4 linked regions of the Anolis sagrei genome follow. The main gene of each other region encodes a partner of the protein of the gene in region 2 in a complex. Links are inferred from orthologs where the notes say so. Each region holds a gene or a part of one and is shown on either strand. Other genes may lie near its edges. The genes, in order: SNIP1, CRNKL1, RBM48 and CRIPT.

Region 1 (7,831 bases), on a different chromosome or scaffold from region 2:
CTCTACTCCCCTCTCTTTAACCTATTCTTAAATTTCTTGTAAAATCCACTTTTCAGATCTTAGCCCCACCACTTTCCCCCTTTCCCTCCCTGCCACCTCCTTACCAAAGCACTGGGAGTAGAGCTCCCTGCGGACGGGGCAGATGCCGGTCTCGCGGGCCTGGCGTTGCTGCAGCTTGAGGTCCAGCTGTTCCTGGAGGTGGACCACGTCCATACGGGTGCTGGGCGTACTGGACACCTGCTGCGTCCACAGCTGGTTCCCCTCTGCCCATTCTCTGCCGGGGTGGAGTGGGGTGAAGAGCCAGTGGGTCAGTCCCTGGTAGGCAGTCCTTCTGCCTCTCCCCTCCTCCGCCCAGGCTCCCAAGGGGCCCCAGTGCTGGCTCACCGTGGCGGGAGGATGGCGTTGAGGATCTCATCAGCGTGTTTCCCGGCCTCAAGGGATGGGGCAGGGGGCTTGCCCTTTGGAGGTGGGATCGGCGGTGGAGCGGGGCCTTGGGCGGAGGGGGGCGGCGTCGGGAGTGGAGGCGCAGGAGGTGGTGGTGGTGGAATCGGAGCAGTGGCCTTCAGCGGATGGGCCTAAGGGGCAGGCAGAGAAACAGAGACAGTCCTGTCCACCAAATTACTATTAAACAGCCACACACTGTATTGTAATCCAAAGCAGTCTGAGGTCATTCAATGAAGGCTGAGATACACGAGTAGTCCAAAGTCCTTTCCAAAATGTTCAAAGCCAAATTGTCTCACCAATACCAAGGCTGCAAGCTAAAACATATTCCGCACACTAACTTCCAAAGTACAGTCAATCTTTCAAGGGTTCAAGGCACAAGACATATGATGCTCAAGGCTGCTACTGAGAACCAATGAACTGATGTTGCTACCCACAGCTAAATATTCCAGACCTCAGCTATTTATGCAGGTTTCTCAAGTGCTCCCACTTGAGAGTGGTAAGACTTTCATTGTCCACTTGGGTTGCTGTTTATTCTGTTCTGAAGCAGTGACTGCTTCTTTGATCTTTGGCTGCACCTGCTTTTGCTCCCTAAAGATAAAGTAAAGTTTTCCCCTTGACATTAAGTCTAGTTGTGTCTGGCTCTGGAGGGTGGTGCTCATTTCTAAGCCAAAGAGCTGGTGTTTTCTATAAACACCTCCAAGGTCATGTGGCCGGCATGACTAAATAGAGCGTTGTTACCTTGCCACTGGAGTGGTACCTATTGATCTACTCACATTTGCATATTTTCTAACTGCTAGGTTGACAGAAGTTAGGGCTAACAGCGGGAGCTCATCTCATTCTCTGGATGTGAACTGCGAATCTTGAGATCAGCAAGTTCAGCAGCTCAGCGATTTAACCCGCCACCCTATTAAAGCCCAATTTGGAGGTGGGAGAAGTAACCCTTCTTCCAACTCCTCCTTTGTAGTAACCATGGCAGAGTTAGCGAGAGAGGACAACCTTTGCCGACCACTTCTATTCTTCTCTTCCCCTTTCTTCGCACCATCCATCCATTCTCCTTCCTTATTCCGTTTCCTTCCTTTTCTTCCCCGCCCCCTTATTATCCCCCTTCTCTCTATTCTCTTTCCATTCCCTGGGAGGGAAAAGGGAAAAGGGGGGGGGGGGAGAAGAATCTTTTTCTCCCCCTTTCCCTCTTTTCCTTCCCTTCTTTTCCTCCTTATTATTCCCTCCCTCCTTTATGTCTTCCTTCCCATTTCTCCCCTTCCCTCCCTTTCTTTTCCTTCCTTCATACCATCCATCCATCTTCCTTCCCTCCCTTCTTTCCTCCAATATCCCTTTGTTTCCTTACTATAATCCTTTCCCATTCTTTCTCCTCCTTTCTTTCTTCCTTTTCCCTTCCCTTGTTTTCTCCTTTATTATTATTACCTCTCCTTCATTTTCTGTCTTCCCTCCTTCCCTATTCATGAACCTTCCCTCCCTTTCTTCTCCTTCCTTAATACCATCCATCAATCCATCCTTACTCATTTCCTTTCTTCCCCCTTCCCTTAATATTATTATTCCCTTTCTCTTTCCTTCCTTCCTATCTTATTAAGTGATTTATTTATTTATGACATTTATATGCCGCCCTTCTCACCCGAAGGGGACTCAGAGCGCCTTACAAGATAGATCTATACACACACACACACACACACACACACACACACACACACACATTAGGCTTGGGTAACCACAGAAAAATTTGGTTCTAAACTCGTTTCGTTTTTAGGGGGGCCCTTGCGTTTCGTTTTTTTTAAAGAATTCCGAAATTTTACTTTAAAAAAGTTCAAAATATACGAAATTTCGTAAAATTACGAATCGTTAATGGCGGACGCGATTGCGCAATATGCTAAAAAACCCTCCAAATGGGACAGGGGGAACTTCTGAAGCTTCCCTCTCCCTCTGTTGTTGACTGTTGGTGTGATAATTTATTTTTTATCACTGATAAAACAAACAACTATAAAACTTGCACCAGACATATGGAAATAATTACGAAACAATTTCGAAACAATTTTGAACCAATTACGAAACAATTACGAAACAATACGAAATAAATTGGAAAAATTGTTTCGATTTTTAATTACTCCTCACAGTAGTCCTGCATGGCTCAATATTGGATCGTAAGCTAATTTAAATACGAATTAATAACGAATTACGAAATTAACGAACGAAACCGCCCAAGCCTAATATACATACATACATTATAGTATTAGCATAGTACAATATAGGTATTATATACAGGGTTAGTCAAAATGCATAGGCCAATAAGCCATTCAATTGAATGGCTTATTGGCCTATGCATTTTGACTAACCCTGTATTACTATATTGTACTATACCATTATTAGTAATGTATTGTCGAAGGCTTTCATGGCCGGAATCACTGGGTTGTTGTAGGATTTTTTGGGATGTATGGCCATGGTCTAGAGGCATTCTCTCCTGGCGTTTCGCCTGCATCTATGGCAAGCATCCTCAGAGGTAGTGAGGTCTGTTGGAACTAGGAAAAAGGGTTTATATATCTGTGGAATGACCAGGGTGAGACAAAAAACTCTTGTCTGCTGGAACTAGGTGGGAATGTTTCAACTGACCACCTTGATTAGCATATAATGGCCTGACAGTGCCTGGAGCAATCTTTTGTTGAGACCTCACTACCTCTGAGGATGCTTGCCATAGATGCAGGCAAAACGTCAGGAGAGAATGCCTCTAGACCATGGCCATACAGCCCAAAAAAACCTACAACAACCCATTATAAGTAACTGTCCCCTGCCACGCGTCGCTTTGGCCCAGTCTGTTGATCTGGAAAATAAAGGGAATGAGAAAGTTTTGGTTTCTAATATATGTAATGTCTTTCTGCTTGTGGGTAAACAGTATTTCTTGTTGTTTCTTTGTCAGTGTTGATGTCGAGATTGTCTGGTTTGCCTACTCTGGAACATACAACATATCACAGTCCTTCTTTTGGGTCCCTTTCAAATCTATGATACTATATCTCTGTGTGTGAATCATATCTATCTATCTATTTATCTATGGCTGGATGGCTCTTTGTCAGGAGGACTTTGATTACGTTTTCTTGCCCTGATGAAGGGAGTTGGATTGGATGGCCTTAAGTATTTTCTGTTGGTCATGGGGATTCTGTGTGGCAAGTTTGCCCCGATTCTGTCATTTGTGGGGTTCAGAATGCCCTTTGATTGTAGGTGAACTATAAATCCCAGTAACTACAACTCCCAAATGTCAAGGTCTATTTCCCCCAAACTCCATCTGTGTTCATATTTGGACATATTGAGAGCTTGTGCCAAGTTTGGTCCAGATCCATCATTGTTTGAGTCCACAGTGGTCTCTGGATGTAGGTGAACTACAACCCCCCAACTCAAGGTCAATGCCCACCAAACCCTTCCAGTATTTTCCGTTGGTCATGGGAGTTCTGTGTGCCAAGCTTGGTTCAATTCCATCGTTGATGGAGTTCAGAATGCTCTTTGATTGTAGGTGAACTATAAATCCCAGTAACTACAACTCCCAAATGTCAAGGTCTATTTCCCCCAAACTCCATCTGTGTTCATATTTGGGCATATTGTGTGTTTGTGCCAAGTTTGGTCCAGATCCATCATTGTTTGAGTCCACAGTGGTCTCTGGATGTAGGTGAACTACAACCCCCCAACTCAAGGTCAATGCCCACCAAACCCTTCCAGTATTTTCCGTTGGTCAAGGGAGTCCTGTGTGCCAAGTGTGGTTCAATTCCATCGTTGATGGAGTTCAGAATGCTCTTTGATTGTAGTTGAACTATAAATCCCAGGAACTACAACTCCCAAATGACAAAATCATAATTTTTTGAGTGATGGTCACTCCTTGTGTTGTGAGAAGTTTTGTTGCCAAATTTGGTGTGATTTCGTTCATTGGTTCTTTTGTTTTTAAGGAACTCATTATGCACAGAGCATTTATATATATATAGATTATTATTAGTAGTATTATATTGTATTACATTATAATATTATAAATATTATATGTATATACACTATATTATATTGTTCCCTTTTGTCCCCCCCTCCCTTCCTCCTTTTCTTCCTTCCTATCCTAGCTTAGCCTCCCTCTTCCCTTCCACTTCCTCCTTCCCTTTTTCCGGGGCCTACTGACCTTGGGCGAGCGCTTCTCGGTGTTGCGGCTCACCAGCACCGGCGTGTCATAGCGGAGCAGCGAGTCCGCCGGGGGAATCATGGTGGCGGCGGGCCTGTTGTGCCCTCACCCGTCGGGCCTGTTGTGCCGCGGTTGCCATGGCGATCTTCGAGCTCAGGAGGGCATTGCCGTGGCGCACGTCCTGACGTCACCGCCGTGAGCCGGCCTCACGAAGGGGAAAAGGGCGCATGCGCATCACTTCTGAGAGCCGGAACCGGAATCTGAGAGTGAGAGAAAGGCAAAGAGGAGCCCGGCGCTTTCACAACAGTCGCCATGGAGGAGGAGGCCGACCGCCGTCGTCGACGCCGCCACCACCGGAAGCGGAGCCCGTCCGGAGAGGGAAGAGAAGGAGGAGGGAGTCGCTCTCCGCCGAAGGAGAAGCGGAAGAAAAGGAGCCGGAGCCCCCGCCGAAGCCTCGTCAGAGTCAAGCAGGTACGAGGCGGCCCCGCCTGGGCCTTTCTGGGCGGCGGGCAGGCCGGAGCCTCTGACTGTATTTGGTGGTGGTGTTGTTCACCCTTCTCATCCTGAAGGGGACTCAGAGCGGCTTACAAGTTACATGTACATACAATATATTATATTATTAGCACAACACAATATTAGGGGTTTTTTTTGTTTATGTGATTTATATGATTTGCATTTTATTGATTGTTTATTGATGTTGTGTTTATTGTTTTGTTTGATGTACTTTGGGCTTGGCCTCATGTAAGCCGCATCAGGTCCCTTGGGGAGATGTTTTTTTTTTTTTGTCGTGTCAGGAGAGACTTGAGAAACTGCAAGTCGCTTCTGGTGTGAGAGAATTGGCCGTCTGCAAGGACATTGCCCAGGGGACGCCCGGATGATTTGATGTTTTATCAACCTTGTGGGAGGCTTCTCTCATGTCCCCGCATGAGGAGCTGGAGCTGATAGAGGGAGCTCATCCGCCTCTCCCCTGATTCGAACCTGCGACCTGTCGGTCTTCAGTCCTGCCGGCACAGGGCTTTAACCCACTGCGCCACCAGGGGAGATGGTAGCGGGGTACAAATAAAGTTTATTATTATTGTCGAAGGCTTTCATGGCCGGAATCACTCAGTTCTTGTGGGTTTTTTCGGGCTATATGGCCATGTTCTAGAGGCATTTCTCCTGACGTTTCGCCTGCATCTATGGCAAGCATCCTCAGAAGTGAGGTCTGTTGGAGCTGAGAAAAAAGGGGTTTATATATCTGTGGAATGACCAGGGTGAGACAAAGGGCTTTTGTAAGTTGGGCTAGGTGTGAATCTAAAAAAAAAAAAAAATTCTAAAAAAAAATTTCTAAAATTGCAACAGTAAAAACAGCAGAGAGAAAAATAGGCAGGGACATCTAATCACCCTTTAAGAAGAGTTTGCTCCAGGCACAGTCAGCCCATTGTATGCTAATCAAGGTGGTCGTTTGAAAGATTCACACCTAGCCCAATTTACAAAAGCCCTTTGTCTCACCCTGGTCATTCCACAGATATATAAACCCCTTTTTTCCCAGCTCCAGACCTCACCTCTGAGGATGCTTGCCATAGATGCAGGCGAAACGTCAGGAGAAATGCCTCTAGAACATGGCCATATAGCCCGAAAAAACCCACAAGAACTGAGATTATTATTATTATTATTATTATTATTATTAGTATTATACATTACTATATTGTACTATACCACTATACTATAATTTATTTATTTATTTATTTCACAGTTTTCTATACCGAGCTTCTCAACCTCATTGAGGGACTCAGCCCGGTTTCCAGCCATAAAAAACATCTACACTCATTAAAATATCATATATCACAATTACAAAAACAACTTTAAAAACACAATATATAAAACTACAGTGGTCAGTCGTCCTATTAAGATGGATCTACATCAACTTCCAGCCAGGGTCCTATGGTGTTGCCTCATTCATTGAAGGCCTGACTCCACAGCCACGTCTTCACCCGTTTCCTAAATGTTAGGATGGATGGGGCGGTTCTGGCCTCCAGAGGGAGAGAGTTCCAGAGTCGCGGGGCCACTATAAAATTACACGTAATATAAAATATGTAATTATATTGTATTATTGGCAGTAGTATATTGTATTACAATATTGTTGTATTGGTCTCGGCCTATTGTAAGCCGCACCGAGTCCTTTGGGAGATGGTAGCGGGGTATAAATAAAAGTTTATTATTATTATTATTATTACTACATATAATAATACGGCTGCTGGTCCATCTCCAAGCCCAATTCAAAATACTGGTTCTGACCTATAAAGCTCTATATGGTTCTGGCCCAGCTTACTTGTCCAAACGCATCCACCCCTACTTCCCACCTTGTAACCTAAGATCATCCAGGGAGGCCCTGTTCTCGCTCCTGTCAACAGCACAAATGCCCCTGGCAGGGACGAGAGACAAGGCCTTCTCGGTGGTGGCCCCCCACCTATGGAACATATTCCCAACTGAGGTAAGATTGGCCACCTCCCTCCTAGCTGTTCAAAAGAAATTAAAGGCATGGTTTTGGGACCAGGCTTTTGGACAATAGATGCAAGCAGCACTTTAAAGGAATGTGACTGGAATGACGATATGGCTGATGAGACTGCCTTATTGTTTTAATGATGGCTTATGTATTGTTAATTATGCTCTTACGTTTAATTGTGGTTTTAATTACTGTAATTTGTTATGTAATGGCTTCGTAATGGGGCCCATTGTAAGCCGTTCTGAGTCCTCCTTCAGGAGTTGAGAAGGACGGGATAAAAATGCGAGAAATAAATAACAATAATAATAATAATAAAAACTTTATTTGTACCCCGCTACCATCTCCCCAAGGGACTCGATGCGGCTTACATGAGGCCGAGCCCACAATACAACAATAAAAACAATAGCAACAGTAATACAAACAATAAATAAAACTCATTAACAGAAAATAGCAATAAACATTAACAATAACACAACGACGTTTAAAATAAATTACATTGTAATATTATCAGTATAATGTGCACATGCAATATATTATATTAGCATAGCACAATATTGGTATTATCTGTCACTGTATTGTACTATACCACTATACTGTAATATTGTGAGGAATATTTCATGTACTATTAAATATGTAATTATATTGTAGTATTATTTGTATAATATTGTACTACATTATAATACCATTAATATTATATGTACATACAATGTATGATATTATTAGCATAACACAATTTTGTTGTTGTA
Region 2 (7,142 bases):
ATATTTCTGAAGTCTAAAATCAGCACATTGACCTATATTTTCTCTAGAACATTAAAGAAATAAGATAAGAAGAAACTCTTGCTCTGACTCGTCAAGAGAAAGAGTGCCATGTTTGGACATCATGTTAAACAAATAAACAACAGGAAGCCCATGCTATGTTGAACTGCTCCTTCTTGCAATGGGACGAACCTTGTCTCTGACAGTTTGGGTACTTTTTAAAGATGTAGAATTGGAAACCACCCAGTGCACCAAGAGAGTTCTCTTTATTTATTTATTTATTTATTTACTTACTTATTTATTGCATTTATATACTGCTTTTCTCACCCCTGGGGAGACTCAAAGGAAAGGCAGGATTCAGTGCCAACATATATACAAAACCAAAGCATGCTAACTAAAACAATAGCATATAACTATACATTAAACAAAATATTTGCAGAAATATTTAAAAACTATTCAAGAAATTATTTCAAAAATATTGATTTAAATATTTGCACAAATATTCATTGAAATAATCACAAAAGGATGCAGAAATATTCACAAAAATATTCACAGAAATGATCATAAAATATATACAAAATATTGTCAGAAATATTCACTGAAATAATCACAAAAATATTGTCAGAAATATTCATTAACATAGCCACAAAAAGAGTTATAGAATTCGTAACATATTTGCAGAAATATTCACAAAATGTTCAACAAATTATTTCAAAAAATAATCATAAAAATATTCCCAGGAATTATTCACAAAAAATATTCACAAAATATGTTCAGAAAAATATATGCTGAAATATTTGGGAAAAATATTCTCAGAAATAATCAAAATACTCACAAATATATTTTCAGAAAAAAAATCCTAAAAATATTTGCAGAAATATTCATTAAAATGTTTGCTGAAATAATCATAAAAATATTCCCAAAAATGTATTCATAAAATATTTGCCTTCAGGCCTTGGGTTTGGGGAGGCAGGGGAGGAAGGGAGGAAGAATAGAAGGAAGGAAGGGCCCTTTAATATTATTATTATTATTATTATTTCCATTATTTTTGTGATTATTTTTCACCCTTTTATTCTTCTGTGATTTTCCCATGGGGACTTCAGAATTCTTAACCATGAGATTTGAGGTTGCACATCACTAGTTTTGATGAGTTTGTCGTAAAATGTGGTGTGAAAGCAATATTCTCATAAAAGCTTTGCAGAATTTTTTTTGGCCTAAAGCTAAGAGCGTTCATTTCTACTTGCCTTAAAGTCAGATTACTAAACACAAGCAATATTCCATCCCCTGACAGTAACAGCATTCAAGAATGCATTGTGCAAGGCAACAGCAATGACATTAAATGGAAATAAAAGACTTTCCTACATTTAGCCACTTGGATAAGACTATTAAATGTTATAAGCTGGACTTGAACTAATTTCTCAACACAAATACATAATAATGAAAAATATTAAGATTACATCATTCAAGAAAAATGCTCCCTACATACCGTACACCTAACATTATCATAATTTTCTTCTAAGTATGATTCCCAGTGAGCCTCATCAACAAAATCCCAATTGGGGTAGTCCACAAATGCAGCATGAGCAACAGGTATATTCTTCTCATTAATCACAGTCACTGCAAGGTTGGCTTTTTCTCTGTAAAACAAATGTTTAGATTTCATTGATGGAACAAGTAAAAATAAATTACAGGATTTTTAATTAGGATAAATAGTTACCATTGTGTTACTTACAAAAGATAAATAACATTGACTCTGCCAAAAAGTCTTTCTGTATCATATTTCATGTGACCAACAATATTAGGAATATCATGGGATTCTGTTCTTCTGGCACTGAGTGTGACAGTAGATTGAATAGACGATGATGTTAGACGTAATAATGAAGTCATATTCTAAACTGCAACACAAAGAGGAAAAATGCTTCTTCAGACAAATGAGTTATAGCCCAGGACAAAACTGAAAATAATGACAAAAATGTAGAAGTAATTTAAAATGACACCAATTTTTGCAGTATGGTCCTATGTATAAAACTGATTGGCTAAAATTATATGCACTTTCACATAACTTCTTTTACTATTACAAAATGAACCCAACTTATTAGATCAGGCAATGTGTGATTTATGCTTACACTTCAGGTTTCTAATAAATATGCATGGGACATTAATGACTTTCTACAATTGGTTTCCAGTTTTTCCAACCATACAAAAACAGTTGATATGTTATCAGCTATCACGGACATTGCAGTTTTGTAAGGAATGTCACTTTCTTCAATCCCTAGATTCCTCTATGACAGGAATTTAGGGTTAGCTGTTGAACTAGTTGTGCAGTTCAGTTGTACACATACTTGCATGACAGAAGTGTGCAGTGGGCCATGTTCTAGAGGCATTCTCTCCTGATGTTTTGCCTGCATCTATGGCAAGCATCCTCAGAGGTAGTGAGGTCTGATGGAACTAGCAAAAAGGGTTTATATATCTGTGGAATGACCAGAGTGGGACAAAGGACTCTTTTCTGCTGGAGCTAGGTGTGATTGTTTCAACTTACCACCTTGATTAGCATTTGATGGCCTGGCAGTGCCTGGGGCAATCTTTTGTTGAGAGGTGATTAGATGTCCCAGATTGCTTCCTCTCTGTTGTTTTGCTGTTTTAATTTTTGAGGTTTTTTAATACTGGTAGCCAGATTTTGTTCATTTTCATGGTTTCCTCCTTTCTGTTGAAATTGTCCACATGCTTGTGGATTTCAATGGCTTCTCTGTGTAGTCTGACATGGTGGTTGTGAGAGTGGTCCAGCATTTCTGTGTTCTCAAACAATATGCTGTGTCCAGGTTGGTTCATCAGGTGCTCTGCTATGGCTGATTTCTCTGGTTGAAGTAGTCTGCAGTGCCTTTCATGTTCCTTGATCTGTGTTTGGGCGCTGTGTTTGGTGGTCCCTATGTTGACTTGTCCACACCTGCATGGTACATGGTAGACTTCTGCAGAAGTGAGAGGATCCCTCTTGTCCTTTGCTGAACATAGCATTTGTTGGATTTTCAAACAACAGTCAGGCCAACAAATGCTAATCAAGGTGGTCAGTTGAAACATTCACACCTGGCTCCAACAGACAAGCAGGCCTGAAGCGAGGGGGTGGTTTTAGGGGTTCAACCCCCCCCCCCCCGAAATGTTTCAGATTTTTTTAAAAAACCTGGGTTACTCATGAATTTTAACTGGTTAACCAAATCCCCATGCTGTCTATGAGATGCAAAAAATTAAGAGTCCCTCCAGAACTGCAAGCACTATCTCAAGCAAATATTGACAATTTATTCACACTGTCATTACTTGCAGCAATAGCTGATGTAGTGAAGCAACCAAGTTGGGGGTGTGCATGTTGAATGCTCTCATTAAGGAGGCCAGACTTGGTGGAGGTGGTTGACAGGGGCGGAGCTGCAGGCTATTGAAGGCTGCTCTGCCCTCTGCTGTGCTCTTTGCTTCAGCGTGAGCTAGGAGGCAGGTTTCAACCCTCCCCACGGCCGAAAATTTCAAACCCCCCCCTGAAAATTTCAACCCCTCCTGAAATTTTTTTCTGGCTACGGCCCTGCAGACAAGAGTCCTTTGTCCCATCCTGGTCATTCCACAGATATGTAAACCCATTTTCCTAGTTCCAACAGACCTCACTACCTCTGAGGATGCTTGCCATAGATGCAGGAGAAACGTCAGGAGAAAATGCCTCTAGAACATGGCCATATAGCCCGAAAAAACCTACAACAACCCAGTGATTCCGGCCATGAAAGCTTTCGACAATACAAGGCCTAACCATCTTGTTCAATGGGCAGGGATTCTAGGGGCCCTTCCACACAGCCCTATATCCCAGAATATCAAGGCAGAAAATCCCGCAATATCTGCTTTGAACTGCGTTATCTGAGTCCACACTTAGATAAAGTGGGGTTTTGTGCCTTGATATTCTGGGATATAGGGCTGTGTGGAAGAGCCTTGAGTGTGGGCTGAGATAACCCACTTCAAAGCATCCCGCAGGACTCACCTTTCAGCAAGGGAGGCCTCTCAATGTGCTGCTGGGCTTCGAGCTCTGAATCAGGACCGCGGCGCGTGCCCGTTGCCAAGGCGACGGAGAGGTCGAGCTTGCCGGCCGCGCGGAATGATGGGAAGCGGAGGCGGAGCTTAGTAGAGACTTCGTCGGAAGCGCTGCGAAAATGGCGTCTACGGCGGCCGGGAAGCAGCGGATCCCCAAAGTAGCCAAGGTGAGGGCGCGAAGCAATGGCAGGGTCACTTATTTCTGTGTGCTTCTCTTCGGGGTTCAGTCCCCTCGGGACTTGACTTCGGAACAGAAAAGGAGTCAGCTTGGGCTGAGGGGGATAGTCGAGGGGGGGAAAGTGGCAGGGAAAGTGGGAGGCCGCGCTCTTCTGGGAGAGAGGGGCCTTTTCGCAGCACTCGGTTGAGCAGGGCCAGCTACTAAGGTTGCATCCAAAATGAAAAGAACTATTGTTTTAATAGTAACTAACCGTCCCCTTCCACGCGTTGCTGTGGCCCAATCTGTGTATATGTGTTTTGTGTGTGTATATATTTGTGAATATGTGTATATATGTGGTTTTGTGCATGTGTTGTAATGTAAATATGGGCTAAATTTCAATATTTCCATATGATTTGTTAACTTTTGCTGATCCCATACCTCCACAGGTAAAGAACAAAGCCCCTGCAGAAGTACAGATCACAGCAGAGCAGCTCTTAAGAGAAGCAAAGGAGAGAGAGCTTGAGCTACTCCCCCCACCCCCTCAACAGAAGATCACAGATGAAGAAGAACTAAATGATTATAAACTTCGCAAAAGAAAAGTAAGTAAATATTATGATCTACTGGTGTTGTGATAGCATTTATTTAAGCTTATATCACAGTTACTTAAAATACACATTATTTAAAATACACATTAACCTGTAAAGCAAAGCTCCTGGAGAATATGATTGGATGTAAAGAAAGTGAAATCTTGAAGTTTTGCACTATCCTAGGTCCGGTCTTCTTTATACCCTGATCATGCCCATCTTAGAATTTTGGTTATTGGTTTTTGTTGTGTATTGTTTGAGTGAGTTTTAATGCTGCTGTTTTATACCCTTATGTTTTATTTAATTGTGTTTTAGTTTATTGTTATGCTTTGCTATGTTTTATTTTAATTGTGGTTTTTGTTTTAATGGATTGTTTTGTTTTGATGTTCTGTGGACATTTTGTCCCATGTGCAAGCCGCCCCAAGTTCTTTAAGGGAGATGGAGGCGGGGCATAAAAATAAAGTTGTTGTTATTATTATTATTATCATTATCATCATCATCATCTTAAATAGCATCCTTGTAGCTGCTCATGAATATTATCGTAAGGCTATCATGAGCTTGGCACTTCACTGCAGGAAAGGACTGTTGACCTCGTTTCTGATTCTGAAAATTATTAATCTGAATCATGTCCTTAGAGGTATTCTGTTTTTGTTTATTCTGCTTAATACTTGTTTGAATACTTCTCTATGGGGAATAGAAAAGCACTAAACATAGTCTGTGTTGACATATTGTGTAGTGAAGTAGAGTTATTGTTGCTCTAAAAATAATTTTAGAAATTTGCCCCATGCTTTTTCTATAGACTTTTGAAGATAACATAAGAAAAAATCGGACAGTTATTAGCAACTGGATCAAGTACGCACAATGGGAGGAAAGCCTCAAAGAAATACAAAGGTAACTATTTCCCTTTGGGCATCATTTGCTGCATAAATAACCAATAGTGGTCATTACCTTAAGATTGGAATTTCAAATGCATTAATTTCAACCCTGTTTTGCTGTCAGGGCTCGTTCCATCTACGAGCGTGCTCTAGATGTGGACTACCGAAATGTCACCCTTTGGCTAAAGTATGCGGAGATGGAAATGAAGAACCGCCAAGTCAATCATTCTCGAAATATTTGGGACCGTGCCATCACAACTTTACCAAGAGTCAATCAGTTCTGGTAAGCTAAGCATGTTTGGTGCTTTTCAAACAGTAGTAAACTGAAATAAATATTCCTGTGAAAATGTATTTTTGCTGTATTTTTGTGTAAAATCACTTCATTAATTAGATGACAGAACTGCCCTTTCTTATGTTGCTTTTACTTGCATAGGTACAAATATACTTACATGGAAGAGATGTTGGGAAACATTGCTGGGACCCGCCAGGTGTTTGAACGCTGGATGGAGTGGCAGCCAGAGGAACAAGCTTGGCATTCCTTCATTAACTTTGAGCTTAGATACAAGGAGGTGGACAGAGCACGGGCTATTTATGAAAGATATATCCTTTTCAGTGTATTCCAGTGTCAACTTCATGATTTGTTCATATTTTTTCTTCCAATAACACTATATAACATGATTTTTGTTCCTGAATTATAAATGTTATTTCCTAATTGGTTCTATCATAAAAACATGGAAAAGGTTTGTTAAACAGCAAAAACTTTGTTTTTGTGGGACATCCTGCAACATATTTTTCTATAGTAGTAGTAGTAGTAGTAGTAATAATAATAATAATAATTTATTTGTAGTTTTTCAATGATTATCTGATAAGAATCTCAATGAGAAATAGATTTTTTTCCAAACTGGATTACATAGTATAATAAAATCTGCCTATTTGATAGTGTAGGAGACAGAAAATTAGCTATTTTAAAATATATCTTTATTGAAATCTTTCTATAACATGATTTAAAATATCAGAAAAGTAAAGAAAAGACAAGAAAAAGGTGGAGATAGAAGAGACAAGAGGAAAAAAAACTAGTGAAATATACCTTAAATTAAAAATAACAAAAAAATGAAAAAGAGAAATGTATCTTCTTGACTTCCAGAGTATCTTCTGTGAGGTGTCCTCCTTTTCCTTCTTCCTTACTTTTTCTCTCTTTTTTTCTTCCTTCATCATTCCATCTCCCCTTCATTCATTTGAGGTTGATTTTTAATTTCTATATTAACATCTTATATTTCTTTTCTTTTAGATATTCTGTAACTTTCTTCCAATTTGTCTCTTATTGGTTTACCTTTGTTTTGGTTTTTTTGATATCAAACAGAAAATTAGCTATTAAGGAGAAAAATATGAGCTGTGTCTCCTTGACTTCCCTTCCTTGCTTTCTTAAAAACCAACAAACAGTACAGTATTGTTTTTCATAATTCAGTCAGT
Region 3 (7,766 bases), on a different chromosome or scaffold from region 2:
AAAGAAGGAAGAAAGAGAAAGGGAGGTAAAGAAAAAGGGGGAAGGAAGGAAAGTTAGAGGAAGAAGAAAAGGAAAGAAAAGGAAAGATGGAAGGAAAGAAAAGAGAGACAGCAGAAGAGAAAGAAAAAGGGGGAAGGAAAGAGATAAGAGAAAGAAGAGGAGAAGGAAAGATGGGAAGGAAGGAAGGAAGGAAGGAAGGAAGGAAGGAGGGAGGGAGGGAGGGAGGGAGGGAGGGAGGGAGGGAGGGAGGTAAAGAAGGAGAGAAAGAGGGAAGATTGGCCACAGCAACACGTGGTGGGTCAAGGTTGTTATTTCTATTATTATTATTATTATGCTATTGTTCCTCTGAGACCCTTTTAGGGGGAATGGGAGAGGTGTCAGGTCCCGGAGGCAATGCATTGCATTATTGTTATTGTTATGATGGTGGTGAAATAAAAGGAAATAAAAAGTGAAAGAAGGAAGCAAACAGGGAGGGAAGAAAGGCAAAGGAAGAAAGGGGGAGGGAATGAAGGAAAGAGAGAAGGATGAAACCAAGTAGTGAAAGAAGGAAAGAAAGAAAGAGGTAGAGAAGGAAGAAAGGAGAGAAAGGGGGAGGAAAAGGGGGAAGGAATAGGTAGGGACCTCTCTTTCATAATAGTCCAGATATCTACCTCAACTTTGATAAGTTTTACTATAGGCCACAGCAACGCGTGGCAGGGCACAGCTAGTGTACCTATAAAGGTGAGGAGAGGGGAATGTAGTCACTTTTGCTCATATAGGGCAAACACTCCCCCTGCTGGTTAGACACCTCTGACTTCTTCCTGGTAGAAACTGAATTAGTACACAATCACATAGTAATAGAACAAGCGCTACAATGAATGGCATAGTTCTGTACATTTCCTTAGATGGGATACACAATGTCCTTAAAAGGGAATTTCCACTAGGAGGCAAATGGGCGGTAACATTTAAAATTAACAAAATCCACATGCAATGGCACAATCAGGATTCTAAATCACAACAACAACAACAACAACAACAACAACAATTTTATTCTTGTAATATTCTAAATTTCAAACCTGTTGTCCATCTTTGATGCCAAGTTTCTCTGCTAGCTGTCTGTTTATTTCAACAATGTTGCCACTACACTGACGACAATGCCTGATTTCTGTCCAGCCCAGGAACACAGTCTGATTGTCCCAGGAAGTTTTCACAGCTTGATCCTGTTAATTCCATTTAAAATGAGAGAAAGGAGAGGGAGTAACAGCATGCATCACTCATTATTCTTTGTCTGACATCAACAAGTGGCTACAGATACAGTACTTTTGTAACTTGAGTCTATGAATGCTTATCGTAAGGGCATTAGCCTCCTAGCTCCACGCTCAGATTGTCACACTTTCCCTTGGCTCTATGTAGGAATTTGTTGCACTTAGGAATCATTAGTCCGAACCCATCATTTGTTGTTCAGCCATGATGTTGTTTGATTATGATGTTTTTATTTGTTTTTGCTGTTGTTGATGATTATATTTATATGCTTGTTCTAACCTGTTTTGGTGGGCATGTCCCCTTGTGCACTGCCTCGAGTCCCTTCAGGGCGATGGAGTTATTACTTTTATTATTATTATTATTATTATTATTATTATTATCTATAGAGTATTAACATTTCCCAGATGTTAATGTTTCAGAAGAGTTTCTGCTTCCTTGTTTTCTCTGAACCTTTTCCTTGCAGATTCTTTCTGTCAAAAAGATCCCCCATAAGTGTTTTCTTTGCTGTTTTAATTGTGATATTTTACTTGTATATTGCTTTCCCAGATGCAGCGTAACAGGCAAATATGGAACTATGGAATGACTTGACGATGGGACTGGAAAATGACTTTAGTAAGAAGATGCTGATGATTTATGTTTTTATTGCTTTTATATGGTTTTTATATTATATGCTAAATGTTTTTAACTGTATTTTACGTCTGGTGGGGCATCGAATTATTGCCGACTGCAAACCGCCTTGAGTCACTTTCGGGCTGAGAAGGGCAGTATACAAATCATAGAATCATAAAGTCACAGTGTTGGAAGAGACCTCGTGGGTCATCCAGCCCAACCCCCTGCCAAGAAGCAGGAAAATAGCATTCAAAGAACCCCCGACAGATGGCCATCCAGCCTGTTTAAAAGCCTCCAAAGAAGAAACCACCATGACACTCCGGGGCAGAGAGTTCCACTGCTGAACAGCTTTCACCGTAAATAAATAAATAAATAAATGAGACAGTGAAACGCTGCCCCTCTTTTCTCACTCTCATGCAGTCCATAGGCACCAAGGGACATTTTTAAATTCTTCCAGTCTCTAAAATTTTAGGGATCATAAACTACTATTGGTTAGTTTGGTTGCAACAGTGCACTTGAAACTTTGTTGTGGGATTGGGAGCAGAAAACCATCTCACTTCATGATCCTTTGTTTTGGACTAAGAGGAGGGCGACTAAAATTATCAAGGGTCTAAAGAACAAACCCTATGAGGAGTGGCTTAAAGAGCTGGGCATGTTTAGCCTTCAGAAGAGAAGGCTAAGAGGTGACATGATGACCATGTATAAATAAGTGAGGGAAGTCATAGGGAGGAGGGAGCAAGCTTGTTTTCCGCTGTCCTGTAGACTAGGATGTGGAACAATGGCGGAAAGGAGATTCCACCTGAACATTAGGAAGACCTTTCTGACTGTGAGAGCTGTTCAGCAGTGGAACTCTCTGCCCCAGAGTGTGGTGGAGGCACCTTCTTTGAAGACTTTCAAGCAGAGACTGGATAGCCATCTGTTGGGGGGCAGGGGGGTGGACTGGGTGGCCCATGAGGTCTCTTCCAACTCTATGATTCTATGACTTTACACTGAAATAATAACAATATTATAGAACTAGTGTGGCCTGTTTTTGGAAATGTTAGAGAATTGCATTGCTCTGTGCAGTACTGTCATGAATGACTTTTCAATAACTTTGAAGCATAGGTTCTTTTTATTGCAATTTCCAGTGTAAGAAGGTATATCAGATTACAGAAAAACATTTAGACAAAGAATGACATTAGACATACAGATTCTATGCAACTACATTGGATTCATAACTACATGGCTAACAAACAAAGGGAATTACATTTTCACTCAGCATTCACACCACATGCACACACATTCATCCTCATGCACCCAAATATTACCATATAATTTTCTCCCTCCTTGGAGAAGCACCTGTTAGGCCAGACCCTGCTTTCCTGCAGCCTGCCAATACATAGTTCCATAACCGCATTGAGTCGCCGATTTAGGCTGAAAAATGCGGTATAAAAATAAAGCAAATAAATAATAAATAACACCAAAACGTCTTTTCCTAAGAACAATGCCAAGAACCAGATCTCTGTTTTCAATACAGCAGAACCTGCCTCCCTGCACAAAACCTAAGACTCCAAAAGCACACTTCTTCCTCTTCCCTTGAGAAAGAAGCCCCAAAGTGACCAGACTGCTCCCGTTCAAATCTGCCACTATCCATTGGTTCACTATCTCTCTCCTTCCCATGGAGCAGAGCACAGCGGGTGAACCAGATTCGTCAGGTTGGTCACAATTTGATCATTATTAGACTGAGTCTTTTGTAGGAATATTCTGTTGATGTAGTCCCAAAGTTGTAAATTAATGATAGATGTCTTCCATCCTGGATCCATCTCAGTTTCCTGGCCAGATGTTGACTCTTCTTGATTGGCGATGGCAACCACAGGGCTTGTGTTGAATTCCTTCTTAACATAAGGAAGATTGCAAACATTTCCTTTATCAATGTCCCAGTTCTTATCAGGGTTTCTCACTAGCAAGTCCAGCAAGCAAGTAGTTAGTCATTGCAGGCCTGGGTCTTTTACTGGTATTTCCAAAATTATTAACTCCATACATCCTTCCATTCATTCCCACACATCATATTAAATTCATATTTGTCAAATCTGCACATTGAATTTCTTATGACAGTACAACTAGTAAAGCATGAACGTAGAATACTCTTAAGGCGGGCCTGGGCCAACTTGGGCCCTTGGGGTTAGCGGCTGAGGGGGGAAAGGAAAGGGCCTGAGGCTGTTAGGAATGGTGGGAGTTGAAGTCCAAAACACCCAAGGGCCCAAGTTGGCCCAAGCCTGCTAAAGAGTTGCTATAAATAGGAAACCAAAGCTCACTACGAGGAGGCAAGGACCACGGCTAGGCCTTTCCTGTTGCCAGGCAACGAGATGCCAGGCTAGGAAGGAGGCTGCCCAAAAGAGAGGCCCGGATGTCACCTCAGGGACACGGAAAGCGAAGTCCCGGATGCAGCCTCCCCGTCCCTGCCCTCCTGTACCTGCTGCAGACGGAGGCTGGAAGCCAAGCCAGGCGGCAGGTGCAGGAAGCAGTCCCGGGCGCCGCTCAAGGAGACAGTGGCGGCGGCGGCGGCCACCCCAGGCCCGCCCGCCCCCCACATGGCGGCCTCCAAGGCGGGCTGGGTGTCACACGAGTGGGCCGCCGAGCTCCTCTTCCGGCTTCTCCGCTCAGGCCAATGACATCCAGAGGACTCCTTCCAGCCCGTCGCTTGTGATTGGCTTTGCTCCGCTCCGGGGGAGGAGCCAATGAAAGCGGGCCATCCGATTGGTGGTCTGTGACAGAATGATGTTTACAACTTGCCTCCCGTTCCTCGCTTGTGATTGGCTGGGGCGCTTCACCCCCCCATCTAATCCTTTCCTCCAATACCGCTCGCCTCTGGGGCGGGATCAACGCAAGCTCATCACTGGATTGGTTGTTGTTGACGGGCGGAAGAAGCCGGAGCATGAGCGGGTCGGAGGGAAAAAATGGCGACTGAGAAGAGCAGAGGCGGTGAAGTCGGGGGCGCCCACCAGCACCACGCGCAGCTGGGCATCTGCGCTTCGCGGGCCAAGTATCGCGAGGGGCGCCGTCCCCGCGCTGTGAAGGTGAAACGCCATCCATTCTACGCGCAGCACAGCCACACCGAAGCATTGGAGCGGTTTGGCACCGCTTTCGTTGGCATGGCTCAAGGCGATGGGATCATGGGAGTTGTAGTTGGCACTAGAATTGAATTTTATCTCTCACACAAGACTACAAACCCCAGAATTCTGTAGCACTAAGCCATGGGGGTTAAAGCGGTGTCAAACTGTTATATCTCTGCAGTATGCTTGCGCCCCTAATTTCTAAATGTAGTGTTTACTAATCCCTGGCCTTCCCAAGTTAGAATCATAGAGTTGGAAGAGGCCTCCTGGGCCATCCAGTCCAACCCCCTGCCAAGAAGCAGGAATATTGCATTCAAAGCACCCCCGACAGATGGCCATCTAGCCTCTGTTTAAAAGCTTCCAAAGAAGGAGCCTCCACCACACTCTGGGGCAGAGAGTTCCACTGCTGAACGGCTCTCACAGTCAGGAAGTTCTTCCTCATGTTCAGATGGAATCTCCTTTCTTGTAGCTTGAAGCCATTGTTCCGCGTCCTAGTCTCCAGGGCAGCAGAAAACAAGTTCGCTTCCTCCTCCCTATGACTTCATCTCACATATTTATACATGGCTATCATGTCTCCTCTCAGCCTTCTCTTCTTAAGGCTAAACATGCCCAGCTCTTTAAGCCACTCCTCATAGGGCTTGTTCTCCAGAACCTTGATCATTTTAGTCGCCCTCCTCTGGACACATTCCAGGTTGTTAATATCTCTCTTCAATATCTCCCAGAACTGGACACAGTGTTCCAGATGTTGTCTGACCAAGGGAGAATAGCATTACTTCACTGGATCTAGACACTATAGGAAAGGGCCTGAGGCTTTAGGAACTGTGGGAGTTGGACTCCAAAATACCCACAGGGCCAAAGTTTGCCCAGGTCTTCTAAAGAGTTGCTATAAGTGGGAAACGAAAGGTCACTACGAGAAGGCAAGGATAACTGCTAGGCCCTTCCTGTTGCCATGGCAACAAGATGCCAGGCTAGGAAGGAGGCTGCCCAAAAGTTTGCCCATGCCTGGTCTTAGGTCTGGGTATGAATCATGTCCACCGTCTTCACCTTAGCATTAGGATTCAGTGCTATCTGTGTTTTGGTGACTAGCTGTGAGCTGTATCACACTATATGATATTTATTGTTGAAAGTTTTCATGGGTGGAATCACTGGGTTGTTGTTGGTTTTTTCCGGCTATATGGCCATGTTCTAGAAGCATTCCCTCCTGATGTTTCGCCTGCATCTATGGCAAGCATCCTCAGAGGTTGTGAGGTCTGTTGGAACTAGGATATTTATTTATCATATCAAAAGCAAACCGAGGGTACAGCTGTAATGTAATTAAAAAAACAACAGAAGAGTTAAAAAACTTGGCATTATACTGTTAGAGACCCTAATTTGGGACTTAATACTAAGGTCTAGGCCACGGGAGGCGCAAGGAAAGAGGCAGTCCCAGGAGGAAGATCAAAAGCAAAGTTTTATTCTTTCATGATCATGAAGGAGTCGGACAGTCGTGTAGGACACGCGCAGGCGCCCACACTTCATAAGGACTGCCGCGCCTCCTTGACAAAAGCAAAGCTTTTATATAGTCTGGTAAACAAGAGTATTTTTGTCATGGAAAGTTACCCGGTGGCGCAGTGGGTTAAACCCCTGTGCCGGCAGGACTGAAGACCGACAGGTCGCAGGTTCGAATCCAGGGAGAGGCAGATGAGCTCCCTCTGTCGGCTCCAGCTCCTCATGCAGGGACATGAGAGAAGCCTCCCACAAGGAGGATAAAAACATCAAATCATCTGGGCGTCCCCTGGGCAACGTCCTTGCAGACGGCCAATTCTCTCACACCAGAAGTGACTTGCAGTTTCTCAAGTCGCTCCTGACATGACAAACAAACAAACAAAAAGGTGTCTTTACTTCTGCTCCTCTTAGTCTCTCTCCTATCAATAGTTCAAAACATAGGTTTGTGCACTTTGCCTGGTTTCCTGTTGTTCTCAAGGTGTTAGGCTGTCAAAACCACAATTTGTTCTCTACTTGCAGACTTCGGTGTCGCGCCAAACCGCAAACCAATTTCCTATATAGCTGAGCATTTAGCAACTTAATAGTTTTCTTATACTTATTCCTCCTTCAATACTAAATGTCCTTTGACCAGTAGCTGGCCACTTGGAGTACCTCTAGTGTTGCTGTAAAAAGATCCTCCTTTGTGCGTGGGGCAGGACTCAGGCTGCATTGTAATACATGGTCTGTGCTTTGCTCTTCTCCGCACTCGCATGTCATGAACTCCACTTTGTAGCCCCATCTCTTAAGGTTGGCTCTGCACCTCGTGCCAGAGCGCAGTCTGTTCAGTGCCTTCCAGGTTGCCTAATCTTCTGTGTGCCCAGGGGTGAAGTCTCTCATTGGGTATCAGCGGAGGCTTGAGATTCTGGATCTTAGCCTGCCACTTTTGGACTCTTGATTGCTGAAGTGTTCCTGCAAGTATCTCTGTAGATCTTAAAAATTTTCCTTGATTTAGCGTTGGCGTGCTAGTTGATATCTGAACAGAGGATGAGCTGGAGATGTCACTGCCTTGGTCCTTTCATTACTGGCTGCTACTTCCCAGCAGATACGAGATGGTAAAGTACCAGCTAAGCAGTGTAATTTCTCCAGCAGTTCTGGGTGTAGGCGTCCTGTGATAATGCAGCACGTTTCATTAAGAGCCACATCTACTGTTTTAACGTGGTGTGATATATTCCACACTGGGCATGCATATTCAGCAGCAAAGCACAAGGCCATGAGACATGGGAGAAGCCTCCCCGCAGGATTGGGTTTCATAGGGTATAAGTATTACAATTAAAGTGTAATCTTGGTGCTAAATAATGT
Region 4 (7,033 bases), on a different chromosome or scaffold from region 2:
AGTTCATCAACACCAAATTTGATCATTCCCACATTACCCAGTTAAAAAGTTTCTTAAGCAAGCTGCATCAGTACTTAGCTGTTTTGAGTCTCCTTGTGGAGAGAAAAAGCAGGGTATAAACCAGGAGTCCTCAAACTAAGGCCCGAGGGCCGGATACGGCCCTCCAAGGTCATTTACCCAGCCTTCGCTCAGGGTCAACCTAAGTTTGAATTTATTTGAAAGCACACAACAATGACAATCCTATCTCATCAGCCAAAAGCAGGCCCACGCTTCCCATTGAAATACTAATAAGTTTATATTTGTTAACATTGTTCTTCATTTTAATTATTGTATTGTTTTAAAGTGTTTTTTGCACGACGAATAAGATATGTGCAGTGTGCATAGGAATCCATTCATGTTTTTTTCAAATTATAATCCGGCCCTCCAACAGTTTGAGGGACTGTGACCTGGCCCTCGGTTTAAAAAGTTTGAGGACCCCTAGTATAAACAAACATAATAATAAGCTATCAAGGATACACACAATGTGATTCAAACAGACATAAAAGCAATCAAGGACTGATGTATGCCCATAAGGATTCTACAAAATATGGTGATTGTGTAATATGCAATCACTAAACAACTGAAGAGAAAATTAATATTAGAAAGCAATTTTATTTTGAACTGAGTTTTAGTAACTTTCAAAAAGATAGTCAGCCAGACACATAAACTCCTTACTGAGACTATGGCCTCATCTACACTGCTATATAATGCAGTTTGAAATTGGATTATATGTCAGTATAAACTCACATAATGCAGTGCAATGAAGTTAAACCGCATTATATGAGCTGATCAGTGTAGGGTCTGAGGTTTTCAAGCTTTTCTCTTTCTCTGAACTAATATTTAATTTTCTAGCCATATTCATCTCAACAGAAAAATAAGAGACTGTCTTAAATGAACACCAGGAACACATATCTATGTAGTGACACATGTTTTGGAACTACCTGTTGTGTTTCTTGCGCCATCTTTCCATGTATCAGGTGTAATGACAGTACCCAGTTTTCTCTCACCTATTGAAAAGTGCAAAAATACAAAGCAAAGATTGTGACACTCTGAACAGTTTTATAATGAAAACACATCAGAAATGTTGTTTACCCCCCTGGCGATACTAGTAAAACAAAGTAGTTCATTCTTTCAATTCTAGTATCATACGATGCTATAATGGGATGTGAAGGATGCATAGCATGAGTGTTACTCATATTTACTCAAAAGGAAATATTATTCAGATTAGTGAATGTACTGCCAAGTTATTATACATAAGATTGCAATTCCAAACGGACTTACTTAGGAGAATACAGTCAAACATATAAAGCCCACGTCCACCTTCCATTTCTCTTCAAGCCCCTATCCCTTGTTAATATTGTATTAACAATATGTGATATTGTTATAAGAATCTCATAATGTTTTCCTGGTTTATAATAATAATAATAATAATAATAATAATATATTTGTAACCCGCCCTTTCTCCCTGAGGGGACTCAGGGCGGTTTCCATCAAAAGTGGCAAACATTCAATGCCATAATAAAACAAACAGCAAATCAATCAGCATAATAAATAAAACATCAATATAAACTAATAAAAACTAACCAATACTACCCAAAAAGAACTTAAATAAACATAATATATCACATTACACACATTTACCAACATAATACGAGTAAAACTGAGTAGCTAAAATGCATTAAAATATGGAGTGGTTAACTGCTACCAACAGGACTGAGGGAGATTTTCAGTATCTAAATGAGAGTATACAATTAAGATATACTAATCTGCCTCCACTCCATATGCTAAAGTGCATAAATAGGTTTTTAAGGGGGGCATTTTTAGTTCTTTAGGGAGGGAGTTCCAGAGTTATGAGTTACTAAAAAAATTGTGCAAATTGGAAAAGGTTCTTTCCAAGTGTATATTCAGTGAGAAATCCTTTTGGAATGTAGGGTTTATGGTTTGTTTTATTTCATGTCAAAAGCATACCACAAATAAATAAGTATAAAACTGATAAAACAAAGAGAGCACAAGCAGTTAAATCATTGTAGATCAAAACCGGGAAACAACAACCACACTGTCTGTCGATTTAAATAGTTCTTCCGCTGTGCATGAGGCGGGGCATTGTGGGCAAGCATACAGATACGGAGTTGTTTGTTCTGCTCCACAATCGCACAAAGTGGAGGATTCTTCTAGGTAGTGCCATTTTGCCAGGTTGTCTTTTGATCTACCAACTCCGCTTCAGGTAACACTATATGATCTTCTTCTTGTTGTCCGAGTAGGATTGTCTTCCAAGATCGGTGTACTGGCTGTGGGTCTATATACGCATCTCCGTTTATGAACCCACGCGTTCTCTTCGCTCATCCGGAGAAGCCCTGCTCACGATTCCACCTGCGTCGCAGGCGCGTCTGGTGGGGATGCGAGACAGGACGTTTTCTGTGGTGGCCCCCCGACTCTGGAACACCCTCCCCAAAGATATTAGACAGGCCCCTATGTTGGCAGTCTTTAGGAAGAACTTGAAGACTTGGCTGTTCCGATGTGCCTTTCCAGAATAGGAAAACTCCAACAACATGTCCCAGAAGCACTTTATTAGACTTTAAGATTGCTTGCACACTGCACTTACCGCCCTTCTCACCCCAAAGGGGATATATCTGTTTAGTGCAGGCCTGGGCAAACCTGGGCCTTCAGGGTGTTTTGGACTTCAACTCCCAACCGGTAGGCTGTTAGGAATTCTGGGAGTTGAAGTCCAAAACACCCTGAAGGCCCAAGTTTGCGCAGGCCTGGTGTACGGGCTTGAAAACTGTCTCCATTAAGACAATAACAATAACAACACTCTATTATATAGTTCTTTCACAACTATATATCCCTGTCTTTTCCACTCACACTTTTCGCAGACCATGGCGAACCCCACTCGCGAAGCCAACAGCAGCGTCTCCGACAACAATACAATCCCTTCGCACTTCCGGCTTCCTGCCTCCGCTATTCACTTCCGCCTTCGTCGTATTGGTTGAGAACGCCTAAGGGGCGGGGAGAAGGCAGGACGCAAGGCACGTAGGGCGCGCGCAGGGCGTGGAGCGCGATGACGTCAATGGCTTCTCCTCAGTGATGGTGGTGGTTGGGAAAGGGGCTTGGAGGCGCCCTCTTGGATTCGGCCCACTAAGCCCCGCCCACTAGCAGCTGAAGGCAGACAGGTGAGCTTACCCTTTCCCCTCCACTCCCTGGAACTATAGAATTAATGTACTCTTGACACCACTTGGACTGCCCTGGCTCAGTGCTACTGAATCCTGAGAGTTGTAGGCCTTTTGAAACTACAACTCCCAGGATTCTATGGCCAGTTCAAATGGTGTCCAACTGCATACATTATACAGTCTGGAAGCACCCTCTCACTGGATTTTTATTGTAATGTAATACTACTAATAATGCAACTTGTATGCAGAACACATCATGCGATGTGCGGGGCTTAACAAATGCAAGGCTGAGGTGAAAATTGCTGGAAGAAACATTAACAACCTCAGATATGCAGATGACACCACTTTGATGGCCAAAAGCGAGGAGGAGCTGAGGAGCCTTCTAATCAAGGTGAAAGAAGAAAGTGCAAAAGCTGGGTTGCAGCTAAACATAAAAAAACCCAAGATTATGGCAACAAGAATGATTGACAACTGGGAAATAGAGGGAGTAAACGTGGAGGCCGTGACAGACTTTGTATTTCTAGGTGCAAAGATTACTTCAGACGCAGACTACAGCCAGGAAATCAGGAGACACTTACTTCTTGGGAGGAGAGCAATGACCAATCTTGATAAAATAGTGAAGAGTAGAGACATCACACTGGCAACAAAGATCCGCATAGTAAAAGCAATTGTATTCCCCGTAGTCACCTACAGATGTGAGAGCTGGACCCTATATAGCAGTGGTTCTCAACCTTCCTAATGCCGTGACCCCTTAGTACAGGTCCTCATGTTGTGGTGACCCCCAACCATAACGTTATTTTCGTTGCTACTTCATAACTGTAATTTTGATACTGTTATGAATTGTAATGTAAATATCTGATATGCAGGATGTATTTTCAGTCACTGGACCAAATTTGGCACAAATACCCGATACGCCCAAAATTTGAATACTGGTGGGGTTGGGGGTGATTGATTTTGTCATTTGGTAATGCTGGAGTTGCTGGGATTTATAGTTCACCTTAAATCAAAGAGCCTTCTGAACGCCATCAATGATGGAATTAAATCAAACATGGCACACAGAATTCCCATGACCAAGAGAAAATATTGGGAAAGTCTGGTGGACATTGACCTTGAGTTTTTGGAGTTGTAGTTCACCTATATCCAGACTGTGGACTCAAGTAATGATGGATCTGGATCAAACTTGGCACAAATACTCAATATGCCCAAATGTGAACACTGGTAGAGTTTGGAGAAAATAGACTTTGACATTTGGGAGTTGTAGTTGTTGGGATTTATAGTTCACCCACAATGAAATAACATTCTGAACCCCACCAATGATAGAATTGGACCAAACTTTCCACACAGAACCCCCATGACCAACAGAAAATACTATATTTTCTGATGGTCTTTGACGACCCCTCTGACACCCCCTCGCGACCCCCACTGGGGTCCCGACCCCCAGGTTGAGAAACACTGCTATATAGGGAAGGCTGAGCGAGGGAAGATAGACGCTTTTGAACTGTGGTGTTGGAGGAAAGTGGTGAGAGTACCTTGGACAGCGAGAAGATCCAACCAGTCCAAACTTCAAGAAATAAAGCCTGACTGCTCATTGGAGGGAAGAATAGTAGAAGCCAAGTTGAAGTACTTTGGCCACATCATGAGAAGAAAGGAAAGCTTAGAGAAGACAATTATGCTGGGGAAAATGGAAGGAAAAAGGAAGAGGGGCCGACCAAGGGATGGACGGTATCCTTGAAGTGACTGGATTGAGCTGGGGGTGGTGACGACCGAGAGGGAGCTCTGACGTGGGCTGGTCCATGAAGTCACGAAGAGTCGGAAACGACTGAATGAATGAACAACAACAAAAAAATACTACTAATATACGAGGGTTGAATGAAAAGTAATGCCTCCACCTTCATAACTCAACAGATGGTAGTCATGGTATGTGGCAGGTACTGGTTTGTTCAGTAGACCCTCCCTTGCAGTTCCATTTTGGCAGGAAGCCTTAGCATTGAACGTTAAAGTGCAAAGTATGGAACCCTGCGCAGACAGTCGGTCAATGCGACTTAAGCACCATGCAGTCATTGAATTTTTGACAGCAGAAGGTGTCACCCCCAAAATGCAAGCTGTTTATGGTGATTGTGTTGATGTGAGTACTGTGCATCGTTGGGTGAATAAGTTTAAAGACCTCACTACCTCTGAGGATGCTTGCCATAGATGCAGGTGAAACGTCAGGAGAGAATGCCTCTAGACCATGGCCATATAGCCTGAAAAAACTACAACAACCCAAGTTTAAAGATGTTGAGGTGGGAACATCTGACTTGCATGACAAAGAAAGATTTGGACGTCCTGTGACAGCAACCACCGAGTTTCACAAGCAAAAGGTTGACATGTATTGTCGAAGGCTTTCATGGCCAGAATCACTAGGTTGTTGTAAGTTTTTTAGGGCTATATGGCCATGTTCTAGAGGCATTCTCTCCTGACGTTTCGCCTGCATCTATGGCAAGCATCCTCAGAGGTAGTGAGGTGACTAGAAAAGGTTGACAGATTGATTCAGGATGATTGTCATATCACTCAGAGAAAAATTTCAAGCATAATCGGCATTTCACAAGGACGTGTGGGTCACATTATTGCTTTGCTAGGCTATCGGAAGATCTGTGCACAATGGCTACCCAGAATGAGAGAATGTGAGACGCTGGTTGCGGAAACAGAGCGTCGACTTCTTCCGTGACGGCTTCAGAAATTATGTTCATCGTTGGCAGAAATGTATCCAATTGTCTGGTGATTATGTGGAAAAGTGAATAGTGGTAGTTAAAAAGCACATTCTAAGGATTATATCTGCGTTTGATTTATTAAAATATTCCCATCCAAACACAAGTAGCGAAGGTGGAGGCATTACTTTTCATCCAACCCTTGCATTATATATAATCATAATAAAAAATGAAAATGTGTATGTGTGTATGCATATAGTACAATATAATATATGGTAATGTAAAAATTGTATATCATATATTGCATATGATATTACTAATAATATTGCGCTATAGTTGTAGTACAATAAAATAATATATAATTATTTATAAATGCAATAAATAATTAAAATACTAATATTGTGCTATGCTAATAATATAATATATTAAACAACAACAACAACAACTATATTTTATCCCACCCCATCTCCCCAGAGGGACTCAGGGCATCTTACAAGACAACAATACAAACCAGTGCAGCATAAAATATACAACAAAAATTGCAACAATACAAATGTATAACAAAAGAAATAAAAGTAAGACATAACAATTGAAATTTAACATAAATAAATTGGATCAATATATGTTGTGAATTTTATGTGCTTATTGTATTTTAGGCCATCATATCTTATATTCTTTATTGTTAGATCAAATGCTAATTTTTGATTTTTAAATTATTATTATTATTATTATTATTATTATTGGATGTTATGCCCCTATCATATTTTGTGCTGTTTTGTCGTATTTTCTTTCTTATTAGGCCAAATGTTAATTTTTGTTTTTATTATTCTTATTCTTATTCTTATTAATTGTGGGTTTTGTGTTGTTAGTATATTTTGTGTTGTCTTCTCTCATGTTCCTCATGGTAAATACTTAGGAACAGTGTTGTGATTTACTTTTTGGTTTTTAAAGTTATGATGATGATGATGATGATGATGATGGATATATACATAGGTCAAAGCATGCGGGTACTGGGTATGTATGATGGTTGGCTGGTATCATAAAAGCTCCAATGTGGCTTGGTTGACCTGAACCAAACTTGGCACACATATCTTTCATTATACAAATCATTTAGGGTTTTGAACTAAAAAAAAACTCCTT

The links.
Region 1: CRNKL1 (region 2) and SNIP1 share a complex: the UniProt entries of both Homo sapiens proteins name them as parts of the minor spliceosome. The link is inferred for Anolis sagrei from reciprocal best matches to the Homo sapiens genes CRNKL1 and SNIP1.
Region 3: CRNKL1 (region 2) and RBM48 share a complex: the UniProt entries of both Homo sapiens proteins name them as parts of the minor spliceosome. The link is inferred for Anolis sagrei from reciprocal best matches to the Homo sapiens genes CRNKL1 and RBM48.
Region 4: CRNKL1 (region 2) and CRIPT share a complex: the UniProt entries of both Homo sapiens proteins name them as parts of the minor spliceosome. The link is inferred for Anolis sagrei from reciprocal best matches to the Homo sapiens genes CRNKL1 and CRIPT.

The regions. Positions count from the first base shown.
Region 1 is NC_090034.1:86,233,625-86,241,455, reverse strand, and holds the start of SNIP1 (smad nuclear-interacting protein 1), read left to right. Parts: upstream 1-4,820; 5' UTR 4,821-4,912; coding exon 4,913-5,071; intron 5,072-7,831. Other genes in the region: DNALI1 (axonemal dynein light intermediate polypeptide 1), read right to left, coding at 105-274, 385-575, 4,601-4,681. UniProt on the Homo sapiens protein: Required for pre-mRNA splicing as component of the spliceosome. As a component of the minor spliceosome, involved in the splicing of U12-type introns in pre-mRNAs. Down-regulates NF-kappa-B signaling by competing with RELA for CREBBP/EP300 binding.
Region 2 is NC_090024.1:139,014,222-139,021,363, reverse strand, and holds the start of CRNKL1 (crooked neck-like protein 1), read left to right. Parts: upstream 1-4,120; 5' UTR 4,121-4,175; coding exon 4,176-4,223; intron 4,224-4,659; coding exon 4,660-4,812; intron 4,813-5,596; coding exon 5,597-5,688; intron 5,689-5,796; coding exon 5,797-5,955; intron 5,956-6,105; coding exon 6,106-6,272; intron 6,273-7,142. Other genes in the region: CFAP61 (cilia- and flagella-associated protein 61), read right to left, coding at 1,484-1,634, 1,730-1,884. UniProt on the Homo sapiens protein: Involved in pre-mRNA splicing process. As a component of the minor spliceosome, involved in the splicing of U12-type introns in pre-mRNAs.
Region 3 is NC_090026.1:102,564,785-102,572,550, reverse strand, and holds the start of RBM48 (RNA-binding protein 48), read left to right. Parts: upstream 1-4,758; 5' UTR 4,759-4,787; coding exon 4,788-4,907; intron 4,908-7,766. Other genes in the region: peroxisomal ATPase PEX1, read right to left, coding at 1,056-1,199, 4,304-4,423. UniProt on the Homo sapiens protein: As a component of the minor spliceosome, involved in the splicing of U12-type introns in pre-mRNAs.
Region 4 is NC_090021.1:26,646,276-26,653,308, forward strand, and holds the start of CRIPT (cysteine-rich PDZ-binding protein), read right to left. Parts: upstream 3,021-7,033; 5' UTR 2,918-3,020; coding exon 2,902-2,917; intron 1,047-2,901; coding exon 981-1,046; intron 1-980. UniProt on the Homo sapiens protein: As a component of the minor spliceosome, involved in the splicing of U12-type introns in pre-mRNAs. Involved in the cytoskeletal anchoring of DLG4 in excitatory synapses.